2 linked regions of the Oryzias latipes genome follow. The protein of the gene in region 1 interacts with the protein of each later gene in a pairwise test. Links are inferred from orthologs where the notes say so. Each region holds a gene or a part of one and is shown in the gene's direction. Other genes may lie near its edges. The genes, in order: bcar1 and nphp1.

Region 1 (4,555 bases):
CAAGCATGAACATGCAAGTGGAGCATCCTGCAGATCCTGGACCAAGATTTGCTTGTTTGGTCTAGACCAGAGCTCAGAGGAGCGTTCACACTTGAAGCCAAATGAGGCTAAAATGAACTCTCTTTTTGTTATCCCACATGCTCCTCCTCCTCCTCCTCAGGTAGAGCTCGTGTGTGCCTATGATTGCCTATGGTCTCAGTACAGTGAACTCACAAACAACAACCCATGAGTCACAGTGACGGCTCAGCTGCAGCTTCCTTGGATTACTGAGAGTGGTCCGGGGGGGGGCTTTGTTTTCACAGCTCTGCTGAGGACACAGAGCATCACCGAAGAACTGCGGGTAACTTCTGCTTTGTTCAGGGATGGATTACAGGGTGAAGAAGACATCTTTGTGGATCATGGGTGTGCTTAGAGCTGACAGTATAGCAGCTCCGCACCACACACTCATCCACGCCCGTCAAAGAAGTGTGTGAGCAGGCTTAAGCTCAGGCCTCTGCTGCCTTTGTAAGTGTAGGTTAGGAAAGCTCATAAACACTGCCTGCTCTGTGGAGCATCTCATGAACGCCACATAATCATTTCTCTTTGTTTTGATCCTTCAAACCTTAAAACTTGTCCTGTAAATAGGAACCTTTTCTCGCACAGAAACCACCACTAGGGGCTTTAAAGCAGCTACACGAAGGGCAAACAGAGCAGGAGCAGCAGGCTGAAGGCAGGATAGCTAATCCAGTTTTTATTGGACTGAAAACCAGCTTTGTGTGCTTCTGATGGTTTGATTCTCCCTGCTGTGCAGAAGGGCGAGGTGCTTTGAACCAGTCATCCACTGTATTTTTTCATCCCTCAGGCAGCTATTTGTGAGTTTTTACCAAAGCAGGTTGAGCAACACCAGGCCCCTCCCACAGCAGTCTGCCCTATGCTCCAGGCTACATAATCCCTGCTGTTGTTACTCCTGTTAGTCACGGCCTACAGCAGGAATTTTTCTGCAGGAATCATCCCTTGCCAAAACATAACTAAATAGCTGGCGCTGCAAATAAAACCCTGATTTTGAAGTGTTTGGTGCGGCGTAGCGTTGCAACACACCTGCTTCAGGTCCAACACATGTAGGTTCACCTGGAAAATGTATGGGCTTTCCTAACAATTCCATGAGACATGAATATTTAGCAGCTGATAAACATAAAGAAGAAAAGAACGAACATGAAGACTTCAAGTAAGCTAATCCTTCAGGGAAAACCCAGATGCTTTTTTTCTTTTACAAACATTTTCCCTCACTTTCTTCATAAACTACATGATGCTTTTTCTACTGAAGTCTTTTCGTTCTCAGTTTGTGACAGTCTGAGTTGAAAACGCTGTACAGAGTTTTTCATTTAACATGAAATGGTGTTGGTGCAAAAATGCTGAACTGATTTCTGTTCAGGCGAAGAGAATGACCATTGCAGCTCCAGGTAAATGCCGTGGGTAGAGGTTTCTGTCTGCATATTAAATGTGCGCACGATACTGTTTCTTAAGAACTGACATGTCAAGACAGGCAGGAGCAGTGGGGGAAGAAACGATGAAGCCAGATACAGAGGGCTTTTGCTTCTGAACAACCTAGAAGCCGCAACAAACGTCGGGCATAATTTGGTTCGTCAGTATTCTCTGCGCTGAAACAACTGATCATGTTAGCTGCAGGGGTCTGCTAACATTTCTTTGGCATGCAGTGCGATCAGGTAAGAAGTTCTGCTGGAACTCGAGGGTTTTTCCACCCAACAGAGTTCCAGCGACGTCTTTTCCAGTGCTTCTGCATTCCATCGCCAAGCGGTTCTTTAGTTTGATCAGTGGGCTGCTCTACATCTCTGTGAAAGCAACGTTATGTGAAGGTTATGGTCGTGTTTCCAGTAATCACGCCAACATAAGGGAGACATAATGTGTACGTTTTAAGGTTGAAACAAGAAACCAATCAGGCTTTATCAGGGTCTTCAGAAACTGTAGTCTTCACAAAAATTAGGATTGTCTTAAACATTTAGGAAATGAGAACACTCTGTTAGTTTACACTTTGTGGATGTGTTTTTCAGTCCTGTGGTCTACTGGTCTAAAGCCACTAAAAACATTGTTTTGCACATTTGCTTTCATCTCCAATGAAAAATAAATAGAGTTGGCAAAAAAAATGTACCTCTTAAAGTAAATTTAAACAAGAAGGTAAAAAAAGTGCCTGTTCATTTCTGCTGTGACGTAAATTGGAGCAGATCGGACACTGATTTGTCAAAGGTAGATATGATATTTATACCTTTATTGATTTATTGACACTATTTGTGACATTTGAAGAAGGATGTTGCTTTCTTTCTATAGTTCTGGGATTTTCCCAAACAGAAAATCTGGTCCTGGCCAGCAGAGGTTTGACAGGAAGATACGATGGGATGCGGCCAGTTTGGCGTTCCATTTTCTTCGCTGCTGTCATTCCAAACTCATGTTCACTTTCCATTAAAGCGTTCGTTCCCTGTGAGGGATTCAGTGGTGGACTGGCTCAACATACAGTGGCTACGGAAAGTATTCAGTGGTCACAGTGTTACATTTTTCACTCTTTGCATCATTGTAGCCTTTTGCCAAAATTAGGAAAGTTCATTTCAATTCTCAGTCATGTGCGCTGACTTACGGAGCCCGTGAAGGGACATCCAAGTGAAAGCAAAGAGTACTGGTTTCTCAGGCGCATGAAAAAGTATCTGTTGCTCAGAAGAAAGTAAGTGGTCATTTGTGCACAGGACCACTTTTCAGAGTTAGTTGTCATGTCCCCTCGCTATATTGCGCTTCACTTTTCGTTTCGTTTTCACATTTTTTTCAGTGCAGTTTTTCCTTCTTTGTCTTTATGCAGGGCATTGACTGCATTCTGATTGGCTGTTGTCCATATCAATCAATCTCCTCTGTACCGTCTCTCTATACATGCAGTTTGACTGTGAGGATAAATCTATGATTGTAATCAGATCTTTGTTTTCATTTTATAGTCCTTAACTTATTTTTCTGGGAAGGTTTGAACTTTAAGAGTTTAAACAAGAATGAAAATGTTCATGTCTGAGAACAGTGTAGAAAGTGTGCTGTGAGGACTTTTCCGCCTTTAGACCATTGACTATAATAGAGAACTGGACTGAGGGAGTGTGACATCACCCATAAAAAAATGCCTTGCTTCTGGTTCCAACGAAATTAAGTCAATTCAGTCGCCATTGTCCACGACGGTTGTCATCCAGCGGCGCCCCCTGCATCCTCAGTTGTTGTCCTGCAATGAGGCTCACTCTTGGTTCCGCCCAACCTGCCAGGACTTTATTACAGCAGACGCTGTGTCGCATTCTCTCCGGGGGACGGGTCATTCCCCTCTTCATCCTCTCCCGGTTCAGACTGCGCGCACTCCTCTCCTGGTGCAGTATGGATCCGGGAGGCGGGTAACCCTGTCCTGGTCTCCTCTCTATCCTCCTTTCTCGTCCTGGTCTCTCATTAAAACCGATTGATGCCAGGTGCCCACCTGTTGTCTGTTCTGCAGTGACATCCGTGAGGAGTTCAAGGACCTCAGAATTTCCACGAACGACGTCACAGTTCAGAACAAGGAGCCCAGAATTTACACAATAAAGACACACCCTGTCATCATTACATGAGTTATTGAGTTTTATGTTACCTTGCAGCTTTTCTTGTCTGGCGTCACCTTTGTGTTATCGCCTAAAGCCAGTTCTAAAGTCATGGGGTTTGTTTCAGCTTTGGAGATTCACTTGCTTTGATCAACTAGTGTACTGCACACGAGTTTTTTTGGTCCATGACCTACTTTCTGGTGCTCACCAGAATTTCTCCAGTTCTATCTTTTTTCTTCTATATTACTTTAGGGGCTCCAAACTGAGTGAACTATCTTGATAGAAAAAATCAGAGAGGTAGAAATTCCTGCCTATTAACAAGAAAGAAAAACTGAAAAGTCACATGGTCTAAGTATTGAGTAGAAGCTTCCGTTTTAGCTGCTACAGCCATGAGTCTTCTTGGAAATTATGCAACAAGTTTATCACACCTGGATTTGGGGATCCTCTGCCTTTCTTTCTTGCATATTACATGGTGAATGTTGGTGTTCAGCCATTTTTAGGTCTCTCCATACATGTTCAATTGGGTATAGATCAGGGATCTGGCTGGACCAGTCTAGAACAGTCACAGATTTGTTCTGAAGTCACTCCTTTGTTATCTTAGTGGAGCGCTGTGGGTCATTGTTTTATTGGACGGTGAACCTTCTGTCTGAGGTCCTGATCACTCTGGAAGAGGTTTTCTCTCAAGATACCTCTGTACATGTCCCTGATGCTGAAAAAATAACCTAAAGCATGATACTGCCACCATCATGTTTCACTGTTTACTACCTTGCTTTAAGGCCCAAAGCGCTTTACAGTCTCATTCTCCCATTTATACTCACTGATGATGATCTCTATAGAAATGCTGGTGAATTAAATGCAATGTTCAATCTTCTTTTTCTTTAAAAAGAGGTATTCATAGGACAAAAAAAAACCCCAAAAGACTTTATGCTTTTTCAAAGAGAATTTGATTTCAATGTATGAAATGTATCAAC
Region 2 (2,693 bases), on another chromosome or scaffold:
TTCTCCTCATTTAATTCAGTGTTTAAAAATGTGCTTCTGTGAAAATGTGTTTTGTACGTAGCTCCTGGCCAACAAAAACCTTAAGTCTTATTGCTGTCTCTTTTTCAGAGAGGAGAGGTGTTGAGGATCATCCGAAAGACGGTGGATGGTTGGTGGCTCGCTCAGGACTCGAAAGGCAACAGAGGAGTGGTTCCAAAGACATTTCTGAAGGTACATGGTCCATTTCAGACACCTTCACTCAGATTTATACAGTTTTAGATATTTAAATAAATATTTGCTCTTCACCGAGAAGAAGAATAAACTGAAATGCAAACAAAAATTAAAGACTGTGGAGGTGAACATTGTCTTTTAGTTTGGCTGTGGTGTTGATGATGACAATGAGGAAGACAATGGCGATGAAGAAGACAGCGAAGAAGAAGATGAAGCTGAAGATGAGGAGGTAGAAGCAGAAGTTGGCAAAGACTTCAATGGTGAACAGGACAAAAACAGGTTCAGTTGAACTTTGATGAACATCTCAGAAAACTTTTGTGATATAAATCAGAGTATCCGTCAAGAACAGAACGTTCTTATAGTTTTCATCATTTACTTAATCAGTCAAAAAGCAAACTAACAAATATCTGTGCTTGTCCTTCAATTGCTTTGACAGCAGTGTCTCCAACTGGTCGACGGTCAGAAAGGCTCTGAAAGAGGTAAACTCTACAAAAATTTAGTTTTCCTCTTTTAGAGCTAACAGGCGCGGCTTTAAAAAAATAAAGTTAAAAATTAAAGTTGAAATTTCTCATGCTTCAGGTTGATGCAACTGATGTGCTGTCAGCCATGGGAGCTATTCCACCGGGATTCAGACCATCCACTCTCGGTAAACTGCTGGAGGAGGAAGGTAATCTTTTGCTAACAGCACTATTTGAACGCAGTAAGAGCTTAGTACCAGGGCAGATCACGGTACTCTGACAATAGCTACTATTTCCGTCTTTTTGTTTTTTAAATACCACAGATATCCGACTTTCTGGTGTAGAAAACTGGACCGGACAAGACTAGTGACCAGTTTGTCCTAATGTGTTTTTGCCCGATTGTAGACGATGTTTCATGAAATGAAAAGTTCTCTAAAAATTCACCTTAATGTACATTTTATAAAATAGAAAGTGTTCACCAGTCTCCCTGTGTGTTTGGATTCACTTCCAGTTATTTCTTACGATGTGTGTGTGCCAGAAAGATAGTCAGAGTGAAGGCATTTCAGTTGATAACCGCAGTCTTCCTCACCGCTGCAGTTGAATCTTCTGTGTATAAACTGATTAAGTAACAAAGCTCTTGATATGTGCGTAATGTCGCAGGTGAAACGTACAGGGCAAGTCGCTACATTAAACCTGAGCTCAGCCAATCTCAGCTCTCCTTTAAAGACCTCCTCCTGAACCCAGACACCGGCAGGGTGAGCGTGACCATCTCCATTTTTTTCTCCTCTGTTTATGTGGAGATGTGGGGGCTCATAATAGTGCTTTCATTTGACCTAGGTACATGCTCGCCAGGTCAAGACCAGTGTTTGCTTCACTTTGTGGAGTTGCAGGTTGATTCCCACTCCTGGGGTCGGAGTTCAGGTCCTCAGCAGACACGTCCGTGTCTGTGCCTTCGATGGATCACAGGTAGAGTTTTAAGTAAGTCCTGCCTCAGTGGCAGAGAAGTGGAAATTCATGTTCCTTATTAAACTCCTTGTGTTTTAGGTTTTGAGTAACATCCACACAGTCAGAGCAGCATACAACCCCAAGAACCCCAAGACATGGAGCTTTTCTCCAAAGGTATGTCTAACCAGTTTTATGTCCCATCATCTAAAAAGAGTATTAGTACTTATTTGTTGATTTTTTTGCAGATGACCGGCTTGCTGCCCGTCCTAATGGACGGAGACTGTTTCTTGCGCTGCAACTCTGTGTCTCCTAATCTAGGAATCCTCTTTGAGCTTGGAGTCACTTTTATTCGAAATGTAAGAGTTAATGCAAAATAAAAAAGAGAATTTTTTTTGCCACAGGACTGGGAAATTAGACTTTGTGGAGCCATATTTGTCTGATGTTGCTCTGCTTTTAGTCAACAGGGGAGAAAGGAGAATTGAGTTGTGGTTGGGCCTTCCTGAAACTATTCGACGAGACTGGAAATCCACTCTCTAACAAGTAGAAACACAAAACTCTTCAACACATACCAGCTAAATGATAACCGTATGCTATGAGTCATTTGTCACAAACACCATATAATGTCGTTTCATGTGTTTAGGACGTACGAGCTGCCAGTGAATGGTGGCACTCCGTACGACAAAGATGTCACATTGGAGACTTCAGTCTCAAGAGGATGTAAGAGCATCAGAAAGTCTAATGTTGTCATGACGCCAGAAAAACTGTGCTGATGAGTGCAAACTGTACACCTTCTCTCCTCCTAAGCCCCTGGCAGTGTTTTCCAACAGATGCTCAATGCCAGGCGGCTGCCCAAACTGGTTGTAAAGATGAAATCGACCAATCGTCGAACCAGAACGCAACTATGGTGGGAGGACCAATGTCAAAAGCCTACGGCAAAGCCTCAATGCATGCAGTAGATCATGGGAACTGATGCTGGATCAACAAATTCCTATTAGGTGTAGCCGCACACATTACTGACTCACATGAGTCCAAATAATTGCAGTGATCAGAGGAAGGCGATTTTGGGTTTTTACTGTATCA

Evidence for each region.
Region 2: the proteins of bcar1 (region 1) and nphp1 interact in a two-hybrid assay, tested with the Homo sapiens proteins (2 studies listed by BioGRID). The link is inferred for Oryzias latipes from reciprocal best matches to the Homo sapiens genes BCAR1 and NPHP1.

Annotation. Positions count from the first base shown.
Region 1 is NC_019864.2:4,911,710-4,916,264, forward strand, and holds the start of bcar1 (breast cancer anti-estrogen resistance protein 1), read left to right. Parts: upstream 1-1,575; 5' UTR 1,576-1,688; coding exon 1,689-1,703; intron 1,704-4,555. UniProt on the Homo sapiens protein: Docking protein which plays a central coordinating role for tyrosine kinase-based signaling related to cell adhesion. Implicated in induction of cell migration and cell branching. Involved in the BCAR3-mediated inhibition of TGFB signaling.
Region 2 is NC_019873.2:15,305,134-15,307,826, reverse strand, and holds part of nphp1 (nephrocystin-1), read left to right. Parts: intron 1-108; coding exon 109-210; intron 211-352; coding exon 353-489; intron 490-646; coding exon 647-689; intron 690-789; coding exon 790-877; intron 878-1,328; coding exon 1,329-1,423; intron 1,424-1,505; coding exon 1,506-1,634; intron 1,635-1,712; coding exon 1,713-1,787; intron 1,788-1,858; coding exon 1,859-1,969; intron 1,970-2,070; coding exon 2,071-2,153; intron 2,154-2,253; coding exon 2,254-2,330; intron 2,331-2,417; coding exon 2,418-2,513; intron 2,514-2,693. UniProt on the Homo sapiens protein: Together with BCAR1 it may play a role in the control of epithelial cell polarity. Involved in the organization of apical junctions in kidney cells together with NPHP4 and RPGRIP1L/NPHP8. Does not seem to be strictly required for ciliogenesis.